7 linked regions of the Cricetulus griseus genome follow. The protein of the gene in region 2 interacts with the protein of the main gene of each other region in a biochemical or structural test. Links are inferred from orthologs where the notes say so. Each region holds a gene or a part of one and is shown on either strand. Other genes may lie near its edges.

Region 1 (3,500 bases), on a different chromosome or scaffold from region 2:
TTTTTCTATACATGCTGTTTTGTCAACGTTTCTTAAAACTAGAAAAACTTAGTCTTTCAAGCATTTTATACCCTTGCTTGACTTGATAGTAGATTGCTTTGTGAAAGAGTTCTTTATATTTGTACTCTGCTTCCTAGTCTACTGTGCCAACTTGAAAAAAAATAGATTGTTTTTCTGCTTACAATTCAAAAGCAGTAAAAGAAACTTATTTTGTGTATTGAGTTCTTGCTTGGAAAAATAGGTAGAATGAAATGTACTTCTGAAGAGTTAATCAAATTCACAGGAGTATCCTGTTTATTTTTGAGACTGAATACACAATTTTTAGGAACTAGCCAATCTTATTAAAATCTAAACCTTGTGTATACTTTTGTTAATAGGAAGTTAATCTAGGTTGCTTTATGTATATATATACTGCATTATGACATTTTTAAAATCGTTTTTATTGTTAGAGATAGGAGTTGTCTGTAGCCTAGGCTGAGTTCAGACTTTCAGTAATCCTCCTGCACCAGTGTCCTGAATGCTAGGATAACAAGTGTGAACCACCACAACTGACTTATCCCTTATTTATTGGCCATCACATCTTTTGTTGCATTAAAATTATCCCTAGATAATTGGATGTAGTTGAGCTCTAATATGGTTCGAATTTTGAAGAAAGTTAAGACATTGTATATTTATGGAGCAAAATGACCCCTATTAATGGATATTTCAGTAAGCTTGTTGTATTTAACTGGAAGTGTAAAAACAGTCGTTCTTAGGTAACTACATACTATCCGTAACATAAATTCTGGTCTTTGTTGCAAGGACATGTAATACACACACATTTAATAAATAGAAGTTGTCACATATCTTTGTACACATATAACACATCTTGAGCCTCTTTGATACGTCCGTTAATCTGCAGTGGGTTTAAGGATGGTTGCCAATCCTTTACACAGCATGTAGTCTTCTACATTTTACATGAAAGAAAAGCAAGGATCAGATACTGACTTGTTTGTTGGAAGTAGGAAGTAGATGGATAGTTCTAGCACCTATACTGGTAATACATTAGTTTCTCAGAATGTGTCTTTTCTGTAGCAACAGATCATAAAATCAGTGTCTTAAGAACATCTTAGCCTGTACTCCTTTAGAGTAGTAAAATCTTCATAAGCATACATTGATATTTGGAGTTTTGAAATGGATGGTGACAGGTGATTAGCAAAGTTTGTTTTTTGAAATACTAAGAAACAAATCACTATTTTTGTTTATATACAGGTCTTGAAAGGTTGGTTATGAATTTCTGTGTTCTCTTTAGGTCAGCAGCCTTGTTTTACATATTGAAGAAGCCCACAAACTCCCAGTAAAACACTTTACTAATCCATATTGTAACATCTACTTGAATAGCGTCCAAGTAGCAAAAACTCATGCAAGGGAGGGGCAAAACCCAGTATGGTCAGAGGAGTTTGTCTTTGAGTAAGTCATATTTTATCATATTCAATCTATTTTTTAGAGTCATATTTCCTCCTGCTGTTTACATATAAATTACCTAAGATCCTGTTTGTCAGGTGTTTTAATAGTATTTTTTGTTGGGTTTGCTCATCTTTATTAATAAAATGCCTTTGGATTACTGAAAAGTATTGACAAAATGTGTTCTATATTTTCTAGATCTTGTTTTAATTGGTTATTAGTGGCTTAAGAAGTTTAAGATTACTGGGGAAATGTAGTTATCAAGTATTCTTGTCTAACTGGTTATATAAAGCTGGTATTAAATGTAACACACTAAATTTTTAACTAATTTTTTTCCTTCTTTCTTTAGTGATCTTCCTCCTGATATCAATAGATTTGAAATCACACTCAGTAATAAAACAAAGAAAAGCAAAGATCCAGATATCTGTAAGTTGATTAAAAAAGCTTTCTAAAGTAATGAAAGCATGTTGTGTGTATTTTTAGAATTTATAAATGAAATGTCTTAAGATGGAGATGAAAAACATGCTGTGCAGTCTACTATTGACTGTTCAGAGGAGACTATTAAAGTATATGTACTATAAACCTTATAATTTGAAATATACAAATCTACTTTCCCTTCTCCCAAAGAATAGGAGAAGAAACTGGTAGTGGTGATCATTTTTCGTTCTCTTTCCTTTTTTATCTTCCCCTAATTTCCTACACTTCAAATATTAAAGGTTCCATTCAGACTAGAGATGTAGCTCCATGGTAGAGTATTTGTCTGGTATGTAGTGGCCTGGAGACTAATCCCCAGCCCTGCAAATTAAAAAGATAGGATGTTTAGCTGTGCTATTTTTTTTCTGTTGTAATATCCAATACTCTGTTCCTATTCTGAGAAGCACACTTCTTGTCCTGTTGGTAGGACAGATGGCAGTGGGATTTAGTGATTTTTATCATGGTGAATTAGGTTAATGCCTTCTTACAACTGAGGCTTTTGGGGTAAGCAGTGATATGTACTGACAAATCAAAACCTGAAGCTCTCTGAAAAAAATGTTTATTCTGTAATTGCTTATATTTTTAAGTGTTTTTCCAATACTTGTATGATAAAAATCCCAGTTTTTTAGAACAGAAAGAAAGCCATACTTTCTATTTGGATTGTGGTCTTTATTGCTCTACCTTTTTTACCTACCTACCTAATCAATTCACAGGTTCCTTTTTTGGAATTGATTTTTAATGTATCTTTGTATTATCCAGGGTTGTAGCACTTACACTGCATCCTCTTTGACAGCTTAAGACATTCTCCATGCACGTCAGACACCATGTCTTAATCATTTCTTAACTCCAGATCCCCAGCCTATGACAGAATGTAATGTAGCAGGTCTAGTAAATGAAAAAAATAACCAAACCAGTTAAGTGTTTTGTGATGTTATTGAAACTTGGTTAATGAAAAGCTTTTAACACCATAGAAAACTGTATTGAGAAAATGTAATTGTATGAACATAGTGGTTTTTCTTTTGTAGTATTTATGCGTTGCCAGTTGAGCAGGTTACAAAAAGGACATGCCACAGATGAATGGTTTCTTCTCAGCTCCCATATACCACTAAAGGGCATTGAACCAGGATCCCTGCGTGTTCGAGCACGATACTCTATGGAAAAAATCATGCCAGAAGAAGAGTACAGTGAATTTAAAGAGGTATTACATTAAATATAAATGTTATTTTTTTGCTTGTTTTCGAGACAGGGTTTCTCTGTTGTTGCTTTGGAGGTTGTCCTGGAACTTACTCTGTAGACCAGGCTGGCCTCTTACAGAGATCCGCCTGCCTCTGCCTCCCAAGTTCTGGGATTAAAGGCGTGCACCACCAACACAAATGTTAACTATTTAATAAGAATCCATAAAGCTAAATAGTAGCGTCCTAGATTAGTAGCATGCTAGTAGCCAGAGGTAAAAAAAACATGTAGTGTGATTTTGATCCTATAAGGCTAGAAATATATAGGCTACAAACTTACTCCATTATTAACTATTGCATTCAGTAGATGGTATTCTTTCATCATCCCATTGGTGTCCAATGATACATAAT
Region 2 (4,058 bases):
GACAGCTGACCCAGGGTCACAGAGCTATAGACCTTCCCAGGTGAGCCTGTGACCACCCAGGCCCTGAGCCACCACACTGTAGACTTTCCTCTCTGGGGCCCTTTCCTCCTTCCTTGGTCCCCAACATATCTCTGGTTTTTCTTTTGATCCCCTCACGCCCTCCCAGGACATGCCGCCACTGTGTCTATTCACACACAGAGACTTTTTCAAACCAAACTGGCTTTAATGAAATTTGTCTTATAAATTAAAAATACATCTAGCAAAGAACAATACAAAAGTAAGGAGCCACACTGGCCTCCCCAAAGTGCCTCCACTCTGACTAGTAGGCCCCTTCCATAGGTCTAGTCCCAGAGCCTATATCACTCAGTTCTCGAGCTGGTCATCCCTTGATGCCTCTGGTCCCCTAGTCTTAACCTAGGCACCTCCCACCCTCTGGTTCCTGCTGGTTATAACAGATTTGATTGTCAATGCCACGGCCCCATGAAACTATCAGCAACTGTCTCAGGTGGAGCCCTCTGACTTGACTCCTGTCCTGTCATTCCCTACTCTAGAAAACCCACAGTCCCAACCCCCTGACGTCCCACTCTTCTGGACCTGGCTGTACAGAGCCATATCTGAGCTGTGGTCTTTGCTGCCACTGCCTCCTGTGGTACCAGGTTCAGGAAGGACCAAGCCCTGCGGCTTGGGAGCAGGGACAGGCTTGGAGTTTCGCGGAGGTGGCACAGCATAGTCATCTGTAGCAGGGTTGTATGGGAGCTCATAGCCCTCCTCCTTCAGCCGAGCCTGGCACCACCATGCATCCTTAGGTTCCTGCGGCAGATCATAAAGGCCCCGGGGAGGGGCTGGGGCCAGGCCCTCGGGTTCATCATAGATGGGGTCCTCTTTGGAGTCTGTCAGCTTGGCTTTCAGCAACCGCTGCTGCACGTGCCCATACAAGTCCCAATAGAGAGGTTTCTTCGAATGCATCCCCTCCCCTGCCCTAGCAGGGGTGCTACCCAGAGGGTCTGAGTACAGAGAGTCCTGAGAAGGGCCTGGGGGAATTCGCAAGGAGTCTAAAGGCTCAGCATATAGGGCTGGGGGGCTGTCCAGGGGCTCCTGAGGAGCAGGAGGGGAAGTCACCTTCACCTCTGCCTCCCCTTCATGGGACTCAGTTCTGAGGATATCTTGTGCCTGTCCCACCTTTCCCTGGGCTTTCTGCTTCTGGATGGCAGCCTCAACTGCCTGAAAGATGTCATTTCCCTGTGTAGTCTGGAAAGTGAAGGTTCCGGCGCCTGAGGGGCAGCGGCGACCAGCTTCAAAAGAGAACATTACCTGAGGGTGTGGAGGGAAACATGTTAGGAGTGTCATAAAAGATGAGTCACAGATCTTACCAAGTTAGTGTATCTGAGGAGAAGAGACCACCTGGGAATGGAATTGATCATCTACAGCTAGCCAACCCGAAGTCCTCCCTGACAGTCATCCTCCCAGACAGCCCCTGCACCTTGTCCCGGCCATAGCGTCGCAACAGAGTGTAGGGCCAGAAAAGGAGTGGCTCCAGGATTTGACTCTGGGTCCCCAAAGTCAGGAGGGTCAGCTTCTCAGCCTCCACCCTCAGTATATAGGAGCCTTGCAGGCCACAGCGTTCAGAAGCCTCAGTCTTCTGCGTGGTTACCCAGAACTGGGAGCCTGGAAGGAACACACAGAAAGGGGAAGGAGCGCTGGGGCAGGTTAGGGACTTGGTAGCCTCCAATCGCTAGCTCCCAAGACCACGTCTTCTCCCCACTCCATTCATGCCAGGCAGCTACCTTCCCAGGTGGGGCTATACAGGGAATTCTCCAGCATCTCCAAGGCAGAAAACTTAGGCGGGTTCTCCGTCTGCGCCAAAGCCCAGCCGCCTTTCTGCAGGAAAAGGAACACATATATATATATATATAAAAAGCCAAGCTGACAGACTCCAAATATATATATATATTTCCCTTGGGTCTGGAGTAGGTGCAGGAGGTCCAGTGCCGCTCTAATAAGCCCCATTCTCGTAATGCTCCTTAGGCCCAGGGCCGCTCACCCCCAACCCCTCACCGGAAAAGCGTTTCTGCATAAACTCTGCACCCAGGCGGCGCTGGACGGGGCGTCCGCCGCCAGCAGGTGCGAGCGCTGCGCGGTGTCCAGGCGGAAGGCAGTGGCGCCGGGTTCGGGGGGACTCTCCACTGACACAGGGGCCACGCTCACACACTCAGCCAAGCGGATCATCTTGCAGTCCAGACGGCGAGAGCCGCCTCGACCCCCTCCAGAGCCCTTGTGGTCAAAGAACTCCAGACGCGCTACGCCGTGAGGACTAGCTGGGTAGAGCACAGCCCAGGTTTTCCTCCACCTCTGGGGGAAAAAATGAAAGACGCGGGAGTTCGCGGCAGCACGCCCCCACGGGGAAGGAGAAACACACGCAGGCCGATCTGAGTCTGGGGCTTCCCAGGCAGGGACACTTTCCCAAAGATAATGCCATCATCCCAACTCCTCCCCAAGAAGGGCACAGCGTGGGGCTTCAAGGGAACTTCATGGGGCTCTGCAATTGCCGGAGCAGCGTCCCGACCTGCTTCCGGCCCCTTTCCTCTTTCTGGCTGCTTTCACCCACTTCTAGTCCGGAGGGGTTTCGCCATCCCCCACGCCGCACACAAACCCACTCACACTACCTTGGTCCCGAAGCGCTGACTCTGTAGAAAGAGCGGACCCTCCATCACAGCCCCGTCCATGGCCCCGGCGGTTCCTTCCCAGCTTCCTGGCCCCGAGGGCGGGGGGCGGGGCGGGGCGGGGCTGCAGGGTGCCGGAGGCGTGCCCGCCCCTCCTGGGCCCCTGCGGCAACGATGGGGGATGGAGGAAGAGGAGCCAGCAGGAAGAAGTCGGGGTACCCAGATAAGCCGACTGGGGCCTTTTATCCTACCGTTCGTTCGCACAGTGGTGCCACTCAGGGAAGCCGTGATTGTCAACTAGAAGGCCCTGGTGCCTGGGAGGTGGGGGGCTGAGAGTGGCGTCATATGCTTAGCGTGACATCAGAGTGAAGGCCGTGACGTCTCCCGCAGGCACCCCGGGGGCACTACAACCACCAAGGGGGGTCCTCGGGACATTAATTCCTCTTGTGGGACCTGCTCCCATGGCCCAATCCTGGAGTTGAACTGGACTGTTGATACTCTGCCTAACTGGGGATGTGGAGGAACAACTAGAGGCTGGCAAGTTTCCCGCCGCCGCAGGGGCCGATCACGAAACCGTTTACAAGTCCAGCATCCTGACAGCGGCTACCCGGCCTCCAACCTGCGGGAAAAGAAAGCTTCATTGAGCCGGCAGAAGGGCGGGGTAGTGGGGGGGGGGGCTGGGGGGGGACGGCTGCAGCAGCTCCACGGGGGAGGGAAGATCTAGAGGAAGGGGACTGGCCTGGCTTGGAATGGAGGGAGAAAGTGGAATGTGGGAGGCTCTAGGGGACGTGGGAGGGACCAACGAAGAGGGGGGAGGAAGGGGGGGTCCAGTCTCCCCTGGCCGAAGAATTTTTTTTTTTTTTTTTTTTTTTGGGAAGTCCTAAAACTAATCTCCAGGACCAGGACTCCGCTTCCAGCCTCTGGAGCTCTGCCTAGGCGAAGAAGGTAGGGGAGTCACTGCCGGCCAAGAGAAAGAGGAGTTGGGGATGGAGAGGATGGTGGACCAGAGGGAAAGTTGATTTGGGATGGAGTCGGGGAAGCCAACCAACTGACAGTTACATTATTGCTAAAGGAGCGGAAACACGAGAGTGGAGAGCTGAGCAGATAGTGGGGATGGAAGCTTCAGGGCGCAGTTGGGAGGCCCTAACCCGAACACCAGGGCTTCCAAGCCAAATGCCCCCAGAACAAAGCTGTCTTGTCTGAGTTAGGGGAAGCAATTCTGGGGGCCCCCTTGCTGTGGAGGGCTGTTTTCAGGCTTGGGTAGAGAAGGCCTGAGCTAAGAAGCCAGCCTAGCTTGTGGTTGCCCGGTGACAGAAACAGTAGTGTTACAGGAAGCTCCGACAACTCCACACCAAACCCTGCCCAGCTTGAACCTAACTCTCCTGGAGCGCCCGCCGG
Region 3 (4,221 bases), on a different chromosome or scaffold from region 2:
ACTGAAGCAACAGACAGCCTCTTCCCCAGATTTCATTTGAAAACAGAAGAGCTACGGATAATTTAAATGTCTCTAGAGATTCCAATGGTTTTCACAGCCCAAGTCTAGAATCTGACTTTCTAACTCAACATTCTCGGTGATTCCCCAGCTCACTATGCTTTTTGAGATGTGATTCTAAGAATAGAGACAAAAAAGCAGAAGGTTCATCCACTGCAAACAGGCACTGGACACATGCCCCCAAACAGGGAAGTAACTCCGGTGTGAGGTGTTTCCTGGATTTTCTAGAAAATGGGCTGAGAGGTGCCACACGGAAGTCTTCCCAGTATTGTTAATGGTTATTCCAAGAATTCTGATTCTTATCTTCAAATTCCAAATAATTCAATTTAGGCAATTATTTGTTTATCTAGAGATGGGGATCTAGTCAATGGCTTGGTACATGCTAAGCACATACTAGACACACACTCTAGCATCTGGCTACATCCCTACCCCTGGCAACTATTTACTGTGAGAGGCAACAAATCTGTGATCAGCTCAAGCAGCAAGTCACTAATGAATGCCAGTCCATCCGAGACAACAGAAATCACAAGAAAGTAAAATGACACCCCATTTTAGAAGGGCTCCACTGTCTTTTCATTCTGCTTAATCTATTAGGGCACTTGTAACTTTTCACAGTTAACCTTCCATATCTGCAGGTTCTGAGTCAACAGAATCAACAAACCCCAGGAAATATTTGGAGGGAAAATTGCATCTGTTTGAACATATACAGATTTTTCTCATGTCATTTCCTAAGGGATATAGAATGAGTATTTTTTATAGCATCAATATTGTATCTGGTATTATAAGCAATACATGGGTAATTTAAAATACACAAGAGGATTGCACAGGCTACATGCAAATACTGCACTATTTTATGCAATAGATTTGAGTTCATGAGGTGGTGGTGAGGGGAAACAGTGCCCTCACAGACATCAAGGGCCAACTGTATACTAACATCTTGAGAGTGAGTTGACCATTGTGTTGTACTTTCTCTTTATGTGGATGGTGTTTTGCTTGTATGTCTGTGTGCACCTCATACATGCCAGAACAGGGCATCAAACCCCCTGTAACTAGGGTAACTGCTGGCTGTGAGCATTAGTGCGGACACAGAGCATCAAACACGGGTTCTCTGAAAGCACTGCCAGTGCTCTTAACCACTGAGTCATCTGTCTGGCCTTGCTGTGTTGTATTTTAATAGTACCAGTCCATATTTCTAAGTTGACATGTCAGTTTCTGCAGTTTGGGGTTAGGAGAGTGCTGCCTTTTACCACTCTCACTGCTGTATCCTATTTTTCTCCTGGACTAACTATATTAAATTCCACTTACATCAAATCACTGCCATACAGCAAAAACTTACTCATGTTTCCCTCCAAATCTGTTAGCAATTTTAAAATAATCCTCATATTGGTAACAATTCTTATCTGAAACCCCACTGGATTTCTCAACTTCTTGGATAACAAAGAAAACGCAGCACCATGGGACAAAGGTAGCCAACATAACTAGTCACATTAACAGTTCTGGGCACACATTCAAAGTGAATAAACTAAAGAGTGAGCATGGGCTCACCTCAGCTCTAGTTTTACAAGTAGAATTCCTGAAGCTTTGGTTTTCAGCATTTGGGGGAGTGGTTAGAGTTAAAGGAATATGGTTCTACGGTTTGTGAACCTGAAGCACAGCACAGGCCATGACAATACAGCACAGTAGAAACAACAGCTGAGATTGCGCAGGAAAAGTAATGCCATTCTGTATAAATGAAGGGAACCAAAATACAGAATAAGAAACAACAGCAAAACATTAAGTCAACATCTGAGAAAACCACCCAAGAATAGGCACAATTGAGCCCAAATACCAGGACCACCAGGCAGTCACCATAATGACATTTGCTATCGAATGTTGTCAAGAGAAATTAGTCCCCAGCCATTCTCTACAACCCAAAATTATTTCTAGCATACAGGACTATGGCAGTAGTAGAAAATACCATATCCACCATGGCAAGATTTTAAATTGGGCCAGGGATAGCCACTCATTCACATTCATTGTGGAAAGCTAGAAGCTGCCTAACCAAAACCCCTTCCTTCCTCACTGTACCTAACATCCCACAGCAGGAGCTCACTGGATGCTGCTTCTTTAATCTCCCTGCCCCCAGCAAAGAACATGGGAGTAGACACTTAGCATCAAGAGTTCAAGAATTCCTCTGTAATCAACTTCAATAGATGCTTCACCAAATAACTCATCATCTTCAAGTAATGAAGAAACGTTCACACAAAACTTAGGCTTTGATACATAATATGGTGGCTTGTGGGAGAAAGCCATGTGCTCAGTATACCAATAAATTCTATAAGGACCTAAAACAAACAGGAATGTATTTTCTCTGACAGATTAATTAGTTCAGGAGCCTGACACCAAATGGATAGCTATATATCTGAACCTATAATGACAGACTTGTGTGGAGTTCTATCACATGCTAAATTTCACCTTTCAAGTCCAAATGGCAACAAACGGTAACCTCAAGTTCATTCGCTCAGTGGAGAGCATTGCCTACTCAATGTTGTCAACACTAAATGTGGCAGAGAAGATTGTCTCCTACCTCCGCTCGACCCTCATAGTAGGTTAGCACAGATTTGGTAAGAACAAAAAGTCTTTCTTTGTAGTTTAGTGGTGATGTCTTCTTTTTCTGCTGGGACCTTTTAATAAGAATCTCTTCTAGGATAGTGTTAAAATTCATCTCGGTCTTCTGGTCGCTCTTTCTCCTGCCATTGAAGATCCCAGTTTCTAAAGTTAGAAAATAAATGGTGAGAATATGGCTCTAATTTTCTAATGCTGTTGAAATTTTAAATTACAAATATAGACCCTCCTCACCCTCCAGCCAGGATAGTCTTAAGTGTCCAGACTGGGGTGACCAAGGCCCAAAGTTTTTCTTCTCTTAGCTCAGCCTCCATCCTGCCCAGCCCTTTCCCAGGAAACCCTAATGAAGATTTCCCATGATGGTGATGATACATGTCTTTGTCTCTTCCAGTATCCCTTAGCTCTCCAACACATTCTGCTATTTGACTTCGGAGAACAAGTAACTCAGATGGCAAAGTGCATTCCACTGCCTGTATTTTTCATTTAGGCCTCAAGATCTTAGGAACTGAAACACATGACCACACAGCATAACTGATTTGAACAATGAATAAGCATGGTAGTGGATACAATTCACACTCTGACTCAGTAAGAATGTCATCTTGATCTGGTATCAGAGTGGTGTCAAAAGGAAGCTGTTGCTACAGCAATGCCCCTTGGTAACTACATTACTATGCTCCATACATGGCTCCTATCCAGACCTCAAGAGAAAAGAAGCCCACCCAGTCAGAGTTACAAAGTCAAGGCTAACCCTTCTTGGGACAGCCTACCTAGATACAAAGATCCTTGATCCTGTACCTAGAGCCTTAAAACTAGAGTTGGCAAGATGGCTCAATGGGTAAAGGTGCCTCCAAACCTGATGACCTGAGTTCACTCCCCAGAACCCCCCCCCCCAAAAAAAGTGGAAAGAGGAGAAACAACTCCTGTAATTTGTCATCTGACCACCACGGTATACAGAAATAAAGGAATGCAGAGAGGAAGGGAGAAAGAGAGGGGAGGGGCCGGGTGGGGGAGGGAATGGAGTGGAAGGGAAGGAGGTAGGGGAGGCTTTAGGAAGGAAGAAAGGAAAGAAGGAGGGAGGGAGAGAGAGAGGAAGAGAGGGAGGGAGGGAGGGAGGAAAGGAAGGAAGGAAGGAAGGAAGGAAGGAAGGAAGGAAGGAAGGAAGGAAGGAAGGAAGGATTCAGCCATTTGAGAACCTAAAGGTACCCAGAAGAGGTCTGCGGATTCTTCCCTGAGGCAAGCTGAATTAGGGTAGATTTCCTTCCCTTGCCTCCTCCATGCCCTTTCAAGAACTAATTGCATATCAAACCACAGAAAAAAAAGGAGTCTCCTGAAGTACATTCAGCAGCTACTTGATATTGTCGCCAGTGAATGGATACTGAGCTACTAAGGAATTCCATCATGCCTTCTTCCAACCTGATAACTTTAGTGCTCTACTATAACTATTCCCTCTTCACAATGACATCAGCCACTTTGGCTCTTCTGACTTTTATGAGCATTTATTCAACAGCATAACCTCTAAACATCCACCCCTTCATTCAGAAGGTACGGTGGGGAATACTA
Region 4 (3,500 bases), on a different chromosome or scaffold from region 2:
GGATACCCTTCTCACAGGAACCAGTGCTTGTTCTTGAAGGCCCACATTAGTCACCAGGAGAGTTTTCAGGAAGTGAGGCCATCCCTTCTGCTTAGCTCATTCTGCATGAGCCTGCTTGCTCTTCTGCTTTCCACTTTGCATTGAAGCCACTTGGCAGAAAGCTCCTGAGGCCAAAGTGTTGAATCCCCAGGGACTGGAATTATGGGTAGTTGTGAGCTGCCATGTAGGTACTGGTAATCAAACCCAGGCCCTCTGGAAGAGCAGTCAGTGCTTTTAACTGCTGAGCTACCTCTCTAGCTACTAAAAAAATGTTATTCACACAGTTTTGACTGACTGAAAGACACTAAAGGGAAACTGGGAATTTGAGAAGGCCCTTTACAGACTCTGGAGGAGGGCAGGCCAGGCAGAAGCGGGCACAAGGGAATGCAGGTGTGGATACTGAACAATGTCTTCAGTGGCATCCCGAGTTAAGACCAGAAGAGTCCTTCCCGAAAACAGACCTACCACCCTGTTCATCACCTCAGTTCTCACAACACGCAGAAGACGTTGAAGACCCTGGTTCTTTGTACATTCTGCTGCATCTGGAGCCCTGCCTTGGAGGAGATGCAACAAGTGTCTAATGTGCCTCATTTAAGCACCCAAGGTAGTGCCAGGTGCAGTCAAGATTGTAAGTGGTGGATTTGGTGAAGGAATCGTAAGATAAAGACCAAGAAGCATGACCCCAAGCTCTGTTGGAGGCATGGATTGGGTAGATAGCACTATTTTGCTTTGTAAATGTCTTCAAACTGCTTAGTTCTTCCTTCACACAGAACACTTGAGTGGGGAGTAGGCAAGCGATACCTGGGTAAGGAATTTTCCCATAGGTGACGATTTCATACAGGAGAATTCCAAAGGACCACACATCAGACTTGATAGTGAAGCAGCCAAAGTTGATGGCCTCTGGAGCCGTCCACTTGATAGGGAACTTAGCACCTGGGGAGGGAGACACAGACTCTTACTCAGAGCTCAAGATAGAAGGTCATGGATCATTCTCTCCTCTGGGTTTTTGGAAATTCAAGTTATTGTTTGGAATAGATAAGACACACACACAATCAGAATGGACGTGGTATCAAATGTCATTCAAATATATTTACTTCCCTATCATGTTTCCCTTTGGACCCTCCCTTCCTTAGAAGCACAGTTTCTTCTGAAACCCCTAGGGGACACTGTAACTGGCCTAAGTTCAAACTCAAAAGGACATGGCATACAATGTAAAGACCAGTGTGTATGTTTGCCTTTCAAACCAGACTCTTTAGCACTGACATTCAGTGTAGATATTTTATTCAGAGTCAAGCATGCTGATGTGCACCTTAGTCTCAGCAGAGGCAGAAGGATCTCTTGATTCTAGGAGTTTAAAACCAACCTGGACAGAAAAGCAGGACCCCATCTCAAAACACCAAACCAAACAAACATAACAAAATGTCCCCACCAACCTTTCCCCACAAAACATTTCAGATTTTTTTCTTTAATGAGTTCACTCTATGTTTGCATGGATGTATCTTTTATTTCATTTAAATTTACCTATTTAATTTTTAGTGCTGGGTATCAGACACACTCAACACTGAACTATACCCACAGATATATATATGTACCATATGTGTCATATATTTTATATGTGTCAATGTGTATTCTTTTGTTCACAAATAATTTTAAGCTTGTGCCCAGGCAATCACAGGTGCTGCTCCAAATGTCATGATCCCTTCTTCCATTGACAAATCATATTAGATGGTTAGAAAGGAGCATGGTTATCTACTTAGAATGAGACAGTGATGGAGTGAGGTTCCTGAGTTGCTGGTGAGGCTGAGGGATCAGGAACATGCAGATTTAGCTAGGGAAACACAAGGTCCCTTGAGGAAAGCAAGACCTGGCACAGATGCCAGCATCAGGGAACTGCTAGGGGTTCATAGCCATCACTTGAAAACATCACTTGTCTGCACTATGTCTTTGCATGAGGTTTCTTCTGCAGTGTCTTACTAAAACTGGAAGTTCCGCCAGGTGGTGGTGGTGCATGCCTTTAATCCCAGCACTTGGGAGGCAGAGGCAAGAGGATCTCTGTGAGTTCGAGACCAGCCTGGTCTACAAGAGATAGTTCCAGACAGCCTCCAAAACAATACAGATAAACCCTGTCTTGACAAACAAAAACTAACAAACAAAAAAACCCACCCAAAAACTGGAAGTTCCTATAAGAACAGTGAAGAGAGTTGTGTGACACCTGTGTGTGTTGGGCAGCATCACTAATTCCTGCATCATCCCTTGACAAACTGGAGCAGTGGTGCATGATGGGAGGGAAGGGAGATGCTAGGACCATCTCTGGGTTACTGCTTTCTCTTTGGTATAATCCTAACAAAGTTCCATACTGTCTTTGTGCCCTGTGTGTAATCCAGAACCGAAGATCAGTATGCCAATGACATATGGCAGAAGATTTATTTTTCAAAAACTCAGTGCTTGTTGGTGTCAACAAAACCAGTAGAATAAATTTTCTCTCGTATACTTTGAGGCTGGATTCCCTGGTTTGAATCCCAGCTCGTCTCCTTACAGAGGGGTCTCTGGGGCTGCAGAACCTTTGAGGTCCTTCATCTGTGGTCTGCAGCACAGAATGTGTTACAAATATCACTGCAGGTCAGAGAAGCACAGTACTTTGTAACTGAGGGAGGAAATTTGCCTTACAGGGTAAACAAAGAATCCTAATTTTGACAAATTTAGTTTTGTTTTACTTTGGTTAACTGAAATAGAAGGCTGGGAGTGTGGTACACATACCAGCACTTGGGAGGCTGAGGCAGAAAGATTTATAGTTTGAGGCCAGCCTGGGTTACACAAGATCCCGCTACAAATCAATGGTAGAACACTTGTCTTGTAAGCCTGAGACCCTAGTTCATTAATCCCAAGTACCAAAAAGTAAAACAGACAAACACCTCCCTTGTCTCAAAACAATGAAGAAGAAGAAAGATGCTACTGTTTATGACCTTGTTAAAGTGTTAAGTGTCATTAGCCAAGAGAGAGCTCCTTAAGAAGTAAGCTACAATTGTGGCACATCATGAATATTGTACCTAATAAGTAGTTTTCAAAATGATGATTTTTTTTGTTAAATTTACCTTTAAAAAAAGCTGAAATGAGACAGTAAGACAATAATTTAAAATGTTCTTATTATGTAGTTTTTTTTTTTTTTAGTTCTTTGCATAGTCTAGATATTAACCCTCTGTCAGATATGTAGGTAGTAGATTTTCTCCCATCGCTAGACCATCTGATCATACATGTATGGGTTAGAGAGCAAGACCTTGAAAGCGAAAACAAGGTGGTCAGTGGCAACAGAGGGAACACTTGGTGGGATGGGGGGTGAGAAAGGGGAAGGCATCAGGCATGGGGGTGAAAGGTGCTGAAAGTACACTATACACTTGCAAAGAAATGGCCTGTATGACCCAGTATCCATACCTTCTCTCGCTGTGTACTCATTATCTTCGATT
Region 5 (3,500 bases), on a different chromosome or scaffold from region 2:
TTCCAGCACTCAGTAGGTTGAGGAAGGAGGCTTGTAATGAGTTTGGTGCCAGCCTAGGTTACAGAGTAAAAACAAAACAAAAACAAACAAACAAAAAACAAACAGAACAAAAGTAGTTTGCCTTCACAAGCCAGGATTTAAAAAAAAAAAAAATTTTTTTTTTTTGAGTAACTAATACATAGTTTAGGTCACAGTTAAGGAAGAAGGCAATTCAGGCCTCTGAGTAGGCAAACTTGTTGGTGTCCAAGGAAGAGGATGGCATAGAGAAGTTGAAACGATCCCCATGGAAACTTCATGGCTCTTCCTAGGAGGCAGCCTCCAGCAGGGCCTTTCAGGATAAGCACTGGTTCTGACTGACAGGCGAAAATGGAGGCAAAACTGTGGACCTGCAGCCCTTTCTTCATGGACCTCATCCTGGGCCTAAGGGCTCAAGATGGAAACATAGGCAATGATGTGGCCTGGTCTCCATACTTGGGTTTTAGACCTGAGTGGAGCACCATTGCTTAATCCCACAGCCAGGCCTCCATCTGGTCAGGTCTACGCTGCCGCCTGTTCTGCTTGTCTGTGCAGTCACTGCTTCCATCTGGCCACTACCATTGCCTGGTCAATGACCACAGCAGCCCAGGGACCTCTCCTTCCGCCTTGTCCCTGGCATCCAGAGAATCTCAAAGTTCAGACCACCTTCTGCAATCCACTGCTTGGAGCAGTTGTTCTCAACCTATGGGTTACAACCCCTTTTCGTTCCCAACCTGTATCTCAACCCCTTTGGAGGGGGGGGGGGTTGAGCCATAACTTCACAGAAGTTGCATCCTACATATCAGACATCCTACATATCAGATATTTACATTACAATTCATAGTAGCAAACTTACAGTTATGAAGTAGCAACAAAAATAATTTTATGGTTGGGGGGGTCATCACAACATGAGGAACTGTATTAAAGGGCCCCAGCATTAGGACAGGTGAGAACCATTGGCTTAGAGCCTATGATGGTGACTCTGCCTAGGAAATACAACAGGGCCAGCAAGGACGCTGAGCAGATAAAGGTTTGATCTCTGAGAACCATATGGTGGAAGGAAAGGACGAGCTTCTGTAAGTTGTCCTTTGACTTCCACACAGCATCCAGAGAGAGAGAGAGAGAGAACAACAAAGACCCCCACAAAGTTTCCATAGACTGGAGCCAGCAAGATGGCTCATCAGGCAAGTGGCTAAGGCCAAACCTGATGACCTGAGTTTCATCCCCAGGACCCACTTGGTTGAAAGAGAGAACAAAGTTCCACAAGTTGTCCTCTGACTTCCACACCCACACTCTGGCATGCATCCAGTCATGAACCCTTCCCACAAGTAAATAAAATGTAACTTTTTAAAAAGTTCCCACCGGCTTAGATCTGGAAGCAAGGACCTAGCCTTGAACATTAGGAGGCACTGCTTTGTCTTTGCCACTTGTGGCCTCAGTTCCCTCAGGATCTACACGGAGCAGGATCCTGGCCTGGAGACATGCACACTTGGTCCAGCCAGTACTGCTTTGGGAGATCACTTCATCCTCTAGGGGTTAGTATCTCCATCATGACAACACACCGTCTCCTGGAGTAGCTCACCCATGTAGTGCCGCACCAGGTCCTGCACGGATTCGAACTGGGCCCGTGTAGTGATGTAGTAGCCACCGGTATCCAGCTTTCGGATCTTATAATGCTTTATGTGGTCACCTCTGTTCTGGTCCCAGTCACGGATGGACAGGGAGTAGGCACCTGTGTGGGAAGGGTCACTTAGTCCTCCTGTCCCTCAGACTAAGAGCAGGAAGAGGCACCAAAGGCAAATTCCCAGAGCCTACTTTAGCTTTGCCCCTTAGCCGGGACCCAAGCACTGCCCCACTGGCCAGAATGGCAGATGGCATGAAGTAACTACTAAAAATGCACCTTTGGTTGTTTCACTCTCCCGAATGAGGAAGGCCCCCTGAGGGTTGCCAGCTGAGAGAAGCTGCCTCTCTGCATCCTTCCTGCTGATCTTTCCAAAGTACCACCTGTGAGGAGAGGCAGGCAGAGTCAGGCACATTCTCTTCAAACCCCAGTCCATCTTCCTGGGAAGTCATCTCACAAGCCTCAATTTCCTGACCTGAGAAATGGGCTGTTACAGTCTGCGTGATGGTATAAGGACCACAGAGAAGGGAGATGAGAAAGTGGCTGACACACGCAGGAGATGCCTAAAAAGACCACCATCCTCTTTTCTAACCACTGGCGTCTCTTGAATTAAAATTAAAACAACAAGGTCTAGGCCAGTCAGGGCTACGTAGTGAGACCCTACCTTAAAAATAAAAATGTGTGTAATCCCAGCACTCAGGAGGCACAGGCAGGCAGATGTTCCAAACCAGCCAAGGTTACATAGTGAGACCCTGTCTCAAACAACCAAATTGGTAAAACCTCGTCATCAATGACCTCATAGTTACTGCCACAGGGTCCTTAACTCATCCCACTAGAACTCTTCACAACCCAGTTTACAGAGGAGGCACTCAAGGCTCAGAAGGGAACTGACTTACCCACCAGGCGAGCTGACATGGACCACCTAAAGTCCTCACCCACCCTAGTTCTTTCCCGCCACACCCAATCCCCTGATTCTTCCCCCATTGATGTTTCCTGTGACTGAACTGTAGCTCAGACCCAACTGTGCAAGTTCATGGGGGTATGTGCCTGAAGTGACCACACATGCTGTAGAAGATTCCGCTGTCATCTCACTGATGGCTAAAGTGACTGTGCCACATGGGCTCAATAGAAGGAACACAGCTTTCAAATTGAGGGGGATGGAAACACCTGGGAACTCTGGCATGCTCAGTCTGTACCTGGCTACTAGGCAAATCTGGGAGACAGGAAGAGCTCTTGGCAAATGGTGTGCCTAGGAGGGCAGACAGCAAGAAGGAGAAAAGACTGAAGGACTCTGTAGCAGACTCACGGCCAGAGTTTTCCAAAGCCACCTCCACCCCCAGCCATGACATTATTAACTTCCTTAAGGGTCAACTAAGTAGGTCAGCACTGAGGAGGCTGAGATCCTGAGTGTGAGGCAGCTTGAGCTACATAGCAAGACCTGCTTCAAAATAAAAAACAGACTTTAAATAGGCTGGGCACTCTTTCTGTGGTGGACATGGACCCTACACATACATGTACTTCCTAATAATGTTCAGAGGAATGTGCCATGTTTCAGCTCATAAGACAGAGAAGGAAATTGAACCAACTACTTAGTAGTTAAGCAACTTGCCGGAGGCCATACTGTGACTCCAAAACAGGAACCCAATTGTCTACTCTCAATCATGACATGGCACCGAGCACTTTGGATGTCAGCATGCTGCCCAAGCTGTGGACAACAGGACGTACCCCAACCCCCGGTCCTTGGCATCGTCGCCCATTATCCGTTCCTCCTTCATGCTTCCTGCCACTCTCTCCACAATATGGCCTCATCCCGCTTATGCACTGGACTTGCCCGTGTCCCTCTGCTCAAGAAATCCCACCTCAC
Region 6 (4,002 bases), on a different chromosome or scaffold from region 2:
TGCTCTTACAGAGGACCCAGGTTCAATTCCCAGTATCTACACTGTGGCTCATGACCATCTGTAACTCCAGTTCCAGGGGATCCAACATCCTCTCCTGACCTCTGTAGGTATCAGGCACGAACATGGTGCACATACACACACCCAGGCAAAATACTGACACACATAAAACAAACTAAACCTTAAAAAAAGAAAACTTCAATTATCAAATATAAGTTCACCCAAAAGCAGCCATTGTTTATAGTAGTCACCTATTGTTAAAACGTATTTATGACTGAATTTCAAAGTATACGAGGCATTTGCATAGGCTACACTTGCTTATATGGCATGATGGTTCAATTGGTATTTTGATATTAAGTATACAGTTTGAAAAATGACACTGCCACAGTACAACCAGGACGGTAATTTACTAGCTCCTGGATGGCCTCTGCAACACGTTAGTCTAACCTGACCTTAACTATTAGCCAACAACAAGACATGTACTGTCAGCCTTATGAACAAATTAGGTTCATAAAAATGTCAAAGCCAACTAAGCAGGAAGAGATGAGGGTGAAGAAAGCTCCATCAATGAGGACAGGGTTATTCCTTAAAGTAACAGAACAGTCCTCAGTTCAGGGGCACACTGTTTCCACACTCAACTTTCCCTACCTTGCTCCAAAGTGAGAATTTTCAAGTCCTGCTTATAATTGAGAAAATCAAAAGATAGCATCAATTAGGTTCTATTAGAACCTTTCAATACACAAATCACTTTGAGGATACGATACAAGTGCTCCATAGACGGGCAGTAAAAAAAAAAAATCCATGCTTACCAGGTGGTGGTGGCACACACCTTTAGCCCCAGCACTCAGAAGCAGAGGCAGGCAGATCTCTGTGAGTTCAAGGCCAGCCTGGTCTACAAAGTGTGTTCCAGGATGGCCAGGGCTGTTACAATGGGAAACCCTGTCTTGAAAAACCACCAACCCCCCCCCCAAAAAAAAACAAACAAACAAACAAAAAAACCAAAAAACAAAAACAAAAAAAACCATGCATAACAGTAGACTCCCAACTTTTAGCGAGAGCAGATGGGAAGAACTATGAATACTTCAAAAGCACCTAAGTCCCCTCCCCTCCCTCACGAATGCAGGCCCCCAAACAGTAAAAGGACTTGTCCCATGTCAACAATGAACCTGAAGTGGGATGTGGCTAGAAACAGCAACTCAAGCAGACTGAATAGTCATAATTTTCTTATGCAAAGAACTGCTCCACCAGAAAAAGAAACTAGTAACTACAGTAGCAAAAACGCTAAGCAGATACAGCAGGAACCGACACAAGCATTGTTTCATAAAGTCCTTTGATGTTTAAGGAAAAACAATGATCAGAAACCTGGAAAGCACTCACCATGTTCCACGAACACGTTGCAGTGTGGACCCCCATGCCGCGATGAGTCCCTCTTCCCTGCCCCTTTGATAAAATGAAGGGCAGGCAAACTAGGCCTTCTTTGGTCCCCAAGAACTTTTCCAGGCTGCTGCCCCATAAAGCAATGATAAGCACCCCTTTCCAGAAGAGGGTTTAAGATCTTCCAGAATGGTCCCCTCAGTAGGAAACAGAATGTACCCAGAACTTCACAACACTGACTCCACGGCAGTAACTGGGGTCAGTCACAGAAAGTCAACTTCCATGAGAAAGGGAAACTGGATTTGAGGTTCACACATGTAAACAGGAGTCTGGAATTCTTTTCCAAGTTAATTAATTTGAAGTCATGTCATCGCAACGCTACCCAAAAGCTTCTTGACTCCGTCTATTTTGCGGATTGAGGAACGTTTCTTTGCAAGGGGCGAATTTTAGATAGAAATATTCATTGGGGAGTCTGAAAAGGGTCAACAGTACTAAAAGTCATTTCAACTCCCCAGCATGCTGGAGACGTTGAACGTCTTTGACGCTTCTCTGCAACTTTTCCTGTGGAAGTCACCAATCCCCTATCTGTCTCTCTCTCCAACAAATTTCCTGCCGCTCTCTTCCCTATCCTGTTCTCCGGAAAATGACTCGGGTCACACAGATCTCAACCAGAGCTTGCTCTCCACACTGTCGAAAAGGAATGCATGGCCAGCAACTTTTTTAAGTCCGCTTTTTAAAAGGCCTGTGAAACCAATCCAGACTTTTTCTTTGCATTAAAGTTTTGGGCTGCACTGAGACCAATGGGGCTGTAGGTGACATTGGAAGAAGTCAGGACATCGGAGGCCGGCGGAAGCAATCTGGGAGGACCGTGGAGATCTCTTGACAGCAGAGAGATTTGAATGAGGGGCTCCGTGGTCAAACTTGGGGTGGGAATCGAGCGAAGGGCGGCCTCGGGGTGAGACAGAGACTTCCCCAGGTGGGGCGCGGGCGGCTTACTCGGGGGCGACGTTCCTCCTCGCCTCAGGAAACTGAGTGTCCCAGGTAGGTTGAAACTGAGACCACCCTGGGTGTCCCAGAGCCAGAGCAGAGCTGTGAGGGACGAAGGTCTCCCGCGGTCCCGAAACGGGAGGCGGCCACGGGAGGAGGCCCGGCGCCTCAGCTGCGCCGAGCCAGGGGTCTACCCGAGACACCCCTCCCCCGGCCCCGGACTCTGCCGCCGCCGCCGCCAAGCAGTCACATCCCCGGCTCTGCCGAGGGACCGGGCTTCTTCAGCCAGAGGGGGGTGTGCCGCGGAAGGGCTCCTCAAACGCAGGACGCTGCAACCGGCTCCGGCTCCAGCGCCTCTCAGGGATAGACACCGACCCCCGAGGCCGCCATGATGGATTACGAGCCGCACCACAACGAGGCCAGGCCCCGCCCCCCGACCCCGCCCCCAACGACGCCAGAACACCCTGCGCGAGGTCGGCCTGGCCGCCGCCGCCGCTGTCCTACGTGCCGCAGCACTTTCGGGGTCTCGCCTCACTGCCCGCGACAGGCCGGCTCCGCACGACCTCTTAAAGATAGGTTTTCTGAGCTCAAGGTGAGCGATGAGGAAGCGCCCGCCTCCTCTGCATTATCACTGGTCTTCCTACGACTGGAGTCTGTCCCCTCACCGCCGTCCAATTGGCCAGTGAGGACGAGAGGGGCCAGCTAATTGTGTTTGGTGCTGCCGCAGTGCATGTTGGGACTTGTGGTCCTGGCGCCCATGGGCTGCTCGCTGAGGCCCCAGCCTCCAGCTCCTATAGCTAGAGAGCTGGTCCCGCCTCCTGGGAGCCGGTGGACTCCGGTCAGCCAACGTCTTCACTGCTTGAGTAGCAAGACCGCGGGAGATTCAGAGCCAGGGGAAAACTATGGATTGGAGTTTTCCAGAACCGGAGTTGGATTACTTCTTTGAGCCTCGTTAGGGGAGAAACTTTTGGTTCGCTCCTAGATACCAACGTGACCGGTTCGTTACATCCTCATCACTCGGGAAAGGCATAAATATGGGAATCTGTGAAGAAGAACTGAGGAAGCAAGCAAGCATCGACGATTCTTTGTGATAGGAAGAAGTCGAAGAAACATTGTTCAGAGTATGCCAGGCGTGATCGTGCATTCGTGCACGTTTGCACTAGTATGAATCCTTACCATGATAGTCCACAGTGAGACATACATTCCCGTAAAATTCGAAGTTAGGCGAAAATTGTCCAGGTTATCCGATCTCAAAAGCCTGTGAAACTACCCCACACCTGTGAAAGTTCATCCTCTGCCCCGCCCCCCACCCCCAGTCTTCACTGTTCCTGAACCTATTTCTTACTTTTTGGGTTTTCGAGACATGTTTTTTCTGTATTGCCCTGGCTGTCCTGGAATTCACTCTGTAGACCAGGCTAGCCTCAACCTCAGAGATCCACCTGCCTCTGCCTTCCAAAAGAGTGCTGGAATTAAAGGCGTGTGCCACCACCTGCTGGGCACCTGGACCTATTTCTCATAGCACTTACAATCTGAACTTTTATATAAAATGCTTTACCCCAATCTTTTCACCCATCAAGGTATGAATAAAATACTGTTCCCACTACACAGGTGGAAAAGCATTCATAGACGTGATTGAAGTGTCAG
Region 7 (4,173 bases), on a different chromosome or scaffold from region 2:
GGCTCCAGAGCTACACAGAGAAACCCTGTCTTGAAAATCAAAACAAAACAAAACAAAAGATACGAATGTGTGTCAAGCAGAGCTAAGAAAAATTTCAGGAAATTACATTGGTAACACAGAAAATTGGTACCTGAGAAGACACACTTAATAGAATTAGATTTTGTAGGTAACAGGAAGCCACTCCAGCACACTTTTCCTCCTTGAGGGGAATCTAATAATTAACTTAGACTTTCTCCAACACCTGTTACATTGTTGCAAGCATGTTCTAATAAAGGCCTGAGGTCAATAATATAATCCACTTTCACAAAGGAGAGAAGAAATTTACTCAAATATATTACCAAACATTATTATTATTTTTTGTTTGTTTTGTTTTTTATTTTTCGAGACAGGGTTTCTCTGTTGCTTTGGAGGATGTCCTGGAACTAGCTCTTGTAGACCAGGAGTGCTAGGATTAAAGGCATGCGCCACCACCGCCTGGCTTTACCAAACATTATACTTCCTAAGTTTGTCCAAGCTATCCAAAATTATTAAAGTTGACAGCACCTGCCACCAGCTACTAGGACCCTCATGTTTCAGAATTCTCAGTGTCCTCATCTCCATAACATAGATTACTATTTACAGTCACTTTCTCTGTGTTTTACTTTTTTTTTTTTTAAATTATTGATGTGTGTGTGGATACTCACTTGCCATGGGACACACACTGAGGCTAAAGAAAGGACTCTCCTTCCACATTTATGTGGGTTTGGGGGAATCAAACTGAGGTCATCAAGCTTTTGTTGCAAACAACTTTCATTCACTAAGTCATCAAGCCTAGCCCCTTCACTACAGTTTTTTAAACTCCATTGATTTTGCCAGTTAACTTTACACTCCTTGTACCATCACAGCTTTACTTCTTCTATCCTAAAAAAGAAACCCTTTTACTTTTAGTAGGTATCCTTAATTAAGTATAGTACCTTTTCATCTTCAAAGTTCAGAGCAAATTACCTCATTAGCAATTCTATGAAGTCAGCTCACCCTGAGAAGTCTAACTCAATCCCCAGACCTTTTTAGAAAATGGCTTAGAAATATACCAGGCAGTGAAATACTTTTTGAAGTCTACTTTCTTGTTGTTGCTATAGCGCAATTAAGCTTGGAACTCAAGGTCCTCTTTTCCTTAGGCGGTTAGGGGTGTGCATCTCTCTCACGCAGCTCTACTTCAGTTTCTTTAAAGTATATGTTAAACCACTAAATTTAATTCCCACCCCCCAAAAATCTAAAACTGAATTAATGTAGAATTAAGATAAATATACTTCCCACCAGGGAGAGATGGTACAAATTTCCTCAAATATAATCTCAGTCTTTTTCCTTTGAAATTCTAGTTTTTTTTTTTTTAAAGGGGGGGGCTACTTCAAATTGCGCATCAGATTCTGAAATTCCTACGATTTCGGTTCATTTTAACGATTTTCCAAAGGCTGCAAGCCAGTTCTTAACCTGCAGTTAGCTGTTGAGATGCAGGGGGTTCTAAAACCTTAAATGGTGTGTAAACTACAAGAATTTTCGAGGAGAGAGCCATGGCTAGCTTCAGAATCTCAAGGACGTCTATATACTTTTTAATGTTAAAAGAATTCTGCAGCCAGACGGTGGTGGCGCACACATTTAGACTCAGCATTCGGGAGGCAGTTCGAGGCCAGCCTGGTCTACAGAATGAGTTCCAAGGCAGCCAAGATTATTTCACAGTGAAACCATGTCTCGAAAAACCAAACAAGTAAAATAAATAATAATAACAATAATAATTATGCATTAGTATTAGTCAGCTAAAGTGACAAAACTGTGTATGTGTGTCGGTGGGTGCATTTGAACAATACAATCACCACTAAATGTCTAAATAAAAATGCATCCTTTCATCCAGTGACCCAGATCCTGACACTGGCCTTCCAATCCGATGTCTTCCTTCTGGTTTAGAATGAGGGAAAGCAATTCAACTCCTCCCTCCACCCCCAAAATTAAATCTCTGACCGACCCTCCGCATCGGGTCTGGTTCCCAGCCCGAGCAGGGCAGCAGGAGCTCGCGTACCTGGGCGCTGGTTCGATTAAGGTGGTCGTATCCAGGTAGTGGATCTTGTAGAACTCCAGCAAGGCCGGCAAATGATCAAACTCCTGGTCCCCGATCTTAAAGCGGCGGTTGGGCAGGGAGTTGATGATGTAGTGCGAGACACGCGAGTTCTCGGACACGGACAGTACATAGTCCCCGGGGCAGGTAGAGGAGTCCCGGACTAGGAACATGCCATGGCGCTGGCCCTGGAGACGGGTCTGAGCCTCCTGGCGAGACACTGGCCCCATGTACCAGGCAGAGCGGTCTGCAGAATCAAACCTGGCGGACGACATGGTGTTGGGTCCGGGGATGGGCGGCGTCTGCTGCTCTCGCCTGCTCGTGAAGCCTTTACCCGCTGTCGGCTTTGGGGCCGAGGAAGGGCCTCTCGGAAGACCTCGAGGAGCAATCAGAGGGCTGGGTCAGGACCTTCCTCTCGGCTCCGGGCCCCGCAGCATCCTCCGCCACCGCCCGCCTGCACCGGGCCGCCTCACGGGAAGAGCAAGCCCGGGAACACTGGGCAAAGCCCTGGGGTCGAGGTGGGCGAAGCCGAGCGGTAGCAGAGGCCGCCTCGGGCTTCTCAGCTGCCCGGCGCCCAGGAATGGCTCCAGCGACTTCTGTCCTGGAACCCGCCGGCTCCGCAGCGTCAAGAGCCCGCACCGACCCTCGCCGTCACACGAAGCAGCCTTCTCCAGCAAGAGTCGCGCCTCCCAGGCCGTTTCACCCAGCCCGTTCCCAATAGCCACAGCAACAAAATGGCGGACGCGGGAGAAGCGGCCGGGCACCTCCCCCTTGGTCCAGCTCACTCTCTCTGCGCACGCGCGGAGCCGGGCGCTACCCCCGCCACGGGGCCCGCCCTTTGACGTCTCTCGGCGCAGCCAATCAGGAGTGCGTTCGCGAGGGTCCCCTCCGTGAGCCACTCGTGCTGGCTCCCGCGTTCCGGGAGGAGGCTGAGGAGGCCGTGGGTCAGGCCCTTCCTGGGCCACAGAGCCGCAGTCAGGCAACTGCTGCTGCTGCTGCCGCCGCCGCCGCCCCCGGGAGTTCCGCACTTGGCGAGAAAACAGCCGGAGCCGAGAGGGAACAGCGTTATGAAAACCTGTTTCTGGGAACAAAGCGTAACGTGCTGGCTTGTCTGGCCAGGGAGGCGTGGCCCTCAGGTGACTGCGAGCCACAGGGCCCTGATAAATCAGGTGGCTTAGGAAAGGCATGACCCAGGGTGAGGTGACCATCAAATGGGTTACTGAATAACTCCTGCCCTAGGTGATCCGACTTGGCACACGTGGAACTAATGCTTTAGGAGGGCCACAGTCTGGTGACAACCAGGCCACTACAGGCTCTGAAATGCAACACCTCTGTGTCTGACTTGAATGTCTTGCCTGCTGTAGGTCGTTGTTCTACAACAGTTCCAGTTTGCTTCCTGCCATTCCACGTTGCTCAACTCCAGCCGTGCCCTCCCAACATATTTCTTCCACCCCCACTAGGATCAATCTTTTTTATTTTAGGGTGAGATACTCAAGACAGAGTTTCTCTGTGTAGCCCTGGCTGTCCTGGAACTCACTCCCAAGACCAGGCTGACCGGGAACTCTTCCTGCCTCTGCCTCTTGAGTGCTGGGATTACAGGTACACACCTGCCCACCACTGCCTGGCTATGATCAAATTTTAATAAAACACCTTTGTTTTGCCTACCTTAATACCATGTCTGGTCTTGAATGAATGATCAGACACTTGTTAAATGAATGACTATTGTGAAAAATCACCAAGACACTGATGGCAGGTTATTGATCATAGCATTTCCAAATTGGATGAACAGAAAGGTATAATCCCATGCCAGGGGTGATGGCACACACCACTAAGCCCAACACTGGGGAGGTAGAGGCAGGAAGATTATGAATTTAAGGACAGCTGAGCTTTATAAGACCCAGCCTAAAATAGGAAATTAGAAAAGGGGGAGGTCTCAAAAGAGAAAGACAGGAGGAGCAAACACTACTTAGATTTCTGTCAGTGAAATTTCATTCTGGCCATTTGTATTTCCCATGTTCAGCAAATCTTAGATTGTGGGGTAATAGGTGATTCCATCCCAGTAACAAATAAGCAAATGTCAAGGT

What was found.
Region 1: the proteins of Dok1 (region 2) and Rasa1 form a complex in vitro, tested with the Homo sapiens proteins (2 studies listed by BioGRID, with this or other methods). The link is inferred for Cricetulus griseus from reciprocal best matches to the Homo sapiens genes DOK1 and RASA1.
Region 3: of the proteins of Dok1 (region 2) and Tec, one has a biochemical effect on the other in vitro, tested with the Homo sapiens proteins (2 studies listed by BioGRID, with this or other methods). The link is inferred for Cricetulus griseus from reciprocal best matches to the Homo sapiens genes DOK1 and TEC.
Region 4: of the proteins of Dok1 (region 2) and Lyn, one has a biochemical effect on the other in vitro, tested with the Homo sapiens proteins (2 studies listed by BioGRID, with this or other methods). The link is inferred for Cricetulus griseus from reciprocal best matches to the Homo sapiens genes DOK1 and LYN.
Region 5: the proteins of Dok1 (region 2) and Fgr form a complex in vitro, tested with the Homo sapiens proteins (2 studies listed by BioGRID, with this or other methods). The link is inferred for Cricetulus griseus from reciprocal best matches to the Homo sapiens genes DOK1 and FGR.
Region 6: the proteins of Dok1 (region 2) and Abl1 form a complex in vitro, tested with the Homo sapiens proteins (5 studies listed by BioGRID, with this or other methods). The link is inferred for Cricetulus griseus from reciprocal best matches to the Homo sapiens genes DOK1 and ABL1.
Region 7: the proteins of Dok1 (region 2) and Crkl form a complex in vitro, tested with the Homo sapiens proteins (2 studies listed by BioGRID, with this or other methods). The link is inferred for Cricetulus griseus from reciprocal best matches to the Homo sapiens genes DOK1 and CRKL.

Annotation. Positions count from the first base shown.
Region 1 is NC_048595.1:305,211,905-305,215,404, reverse strand, and holds part of Rasa1 (ras GTPase-activating protein 1), read left to right. Parts: intron 1-1,291; coding exon 1,292-1,449; intron 1,450-1,792; coding exon 1,793-1,869; intron 1,870-2,942; coding exon 2,943-3,115; intron 3,116-3,500. UniProt on the Homo sapiens protein: Inhibitory regulator of the Ras-cyclic AMP pathway. Stimulates the GTPase of normal but not oncogenic Ras p21; this stimulation may be further increased in the presence of NCK1.
Region 2 is NC_048601.1:74,204,847-74,208,904, forward strand, and holds Dok1 (docking protein 1), read right to left. Parts: upstream 2,801-4,058; 5' UTR 2,724-2,800; coding exon 2,664-2,723; intron 2,350-2,663; coding exon 2,056-2,349; intron 1,879-2,055; coding exon 1,785-1,878; intron 1,666-1,784; coding exon 1,481-1,665; intron 1,312-1,480; coding exon 502-1,311; 3' UTR 200-501; downstream 1-199. UniProt on the Homo sapiens protein: DOK proteins are enzymatically inert adaptor or scaffolding proteins. They provide a docking platform for the assembly of multimolecular signaling complexes. DOK1 appears to be a negative regulator of the insulin signaling pathway.
Region 3 is NW_023276807.1:139,339,377-139,343,597, forward strand, and holds the start of Tec (tyrosine-protein kinase Tec), read right to left. Parts: upstream 2,801-4,221; 5' UTR 2,762-2,800; coding exon 2,624-2,761; intron 1-2,623.
Region 4 is NC_048595.1:156,324,208-156,327,707, forward strand, and holds part of Lyn (tyrosine-protein kinase Lyn), read right to left. Parts: coding exon 3,469-3,500; intron 973-3,468; coding exon 841-972; intron 1-840. UniProt on the Homo sapiens protein: Non-receptor tyrosine-protein kinase that transmits signals from cell surface receptors and plays an important role in the regulation of innate and adaptive immune responses, hematopoiesis, responses to growth factors and cytokines, integrin signaling, but also responses to DNA damage and genotoxic agents.
Region 5 is NC_048595.1:20,267,237-20,270,736, forward strand, and holds part of Fgr (tyrosine-protein kinase Fgr), read right to left. Parts: intron 2,020-3,500; coding exon 1,916-2,019; intron 1,748-1,915; coding exon 1,598-1,747; intron 1-1,597. UniProt on the Homo sapiens protein: Non-receptor tyrosine-protein kinase that transmits signals from cell surface receptors devoid of kinase activity and contributes to the regulation of immune responses, including neutrophil, monocyte, macrophage and mast cell functions, cytoskeleton remodeling in response to extracellular stimuli, phagocytosis, cell adhesion and migration.
Region 6 is NC_048599.1:143,412,014-143,416,015, reverse strand, and holds the start of Abl1 (tyrosine-protein kinase ABL1), read right to left. Parts: upstream 2,801-4,002; 5' UTR 1,511-2,800; coding exon 1,375-1,510; intron 1-1,374. UniProt on the Homo sapiens protein: Non-receptor tyrosine-protein kinase that plays a role in many key processes linked to cell growth and survival such as cytoskeleton remodeling in response to extracellular stimuli, cell motility and adhesion, receptor endocytosis, autophagy, DNA damage response and apoptosis.
Region 7 is NC_048597.1:71,867,896-71,872,068, forward strand, and holds the start of Crkl (crk-like protein), read right to left. Parts: upstream 2,801-4,173; 5' UTR 2,365-2,800; coding exon 2,054-2,364; intron 1-2,053. UniProt on the Homo sapiens protein: May mediate the transduction of intracellular signals.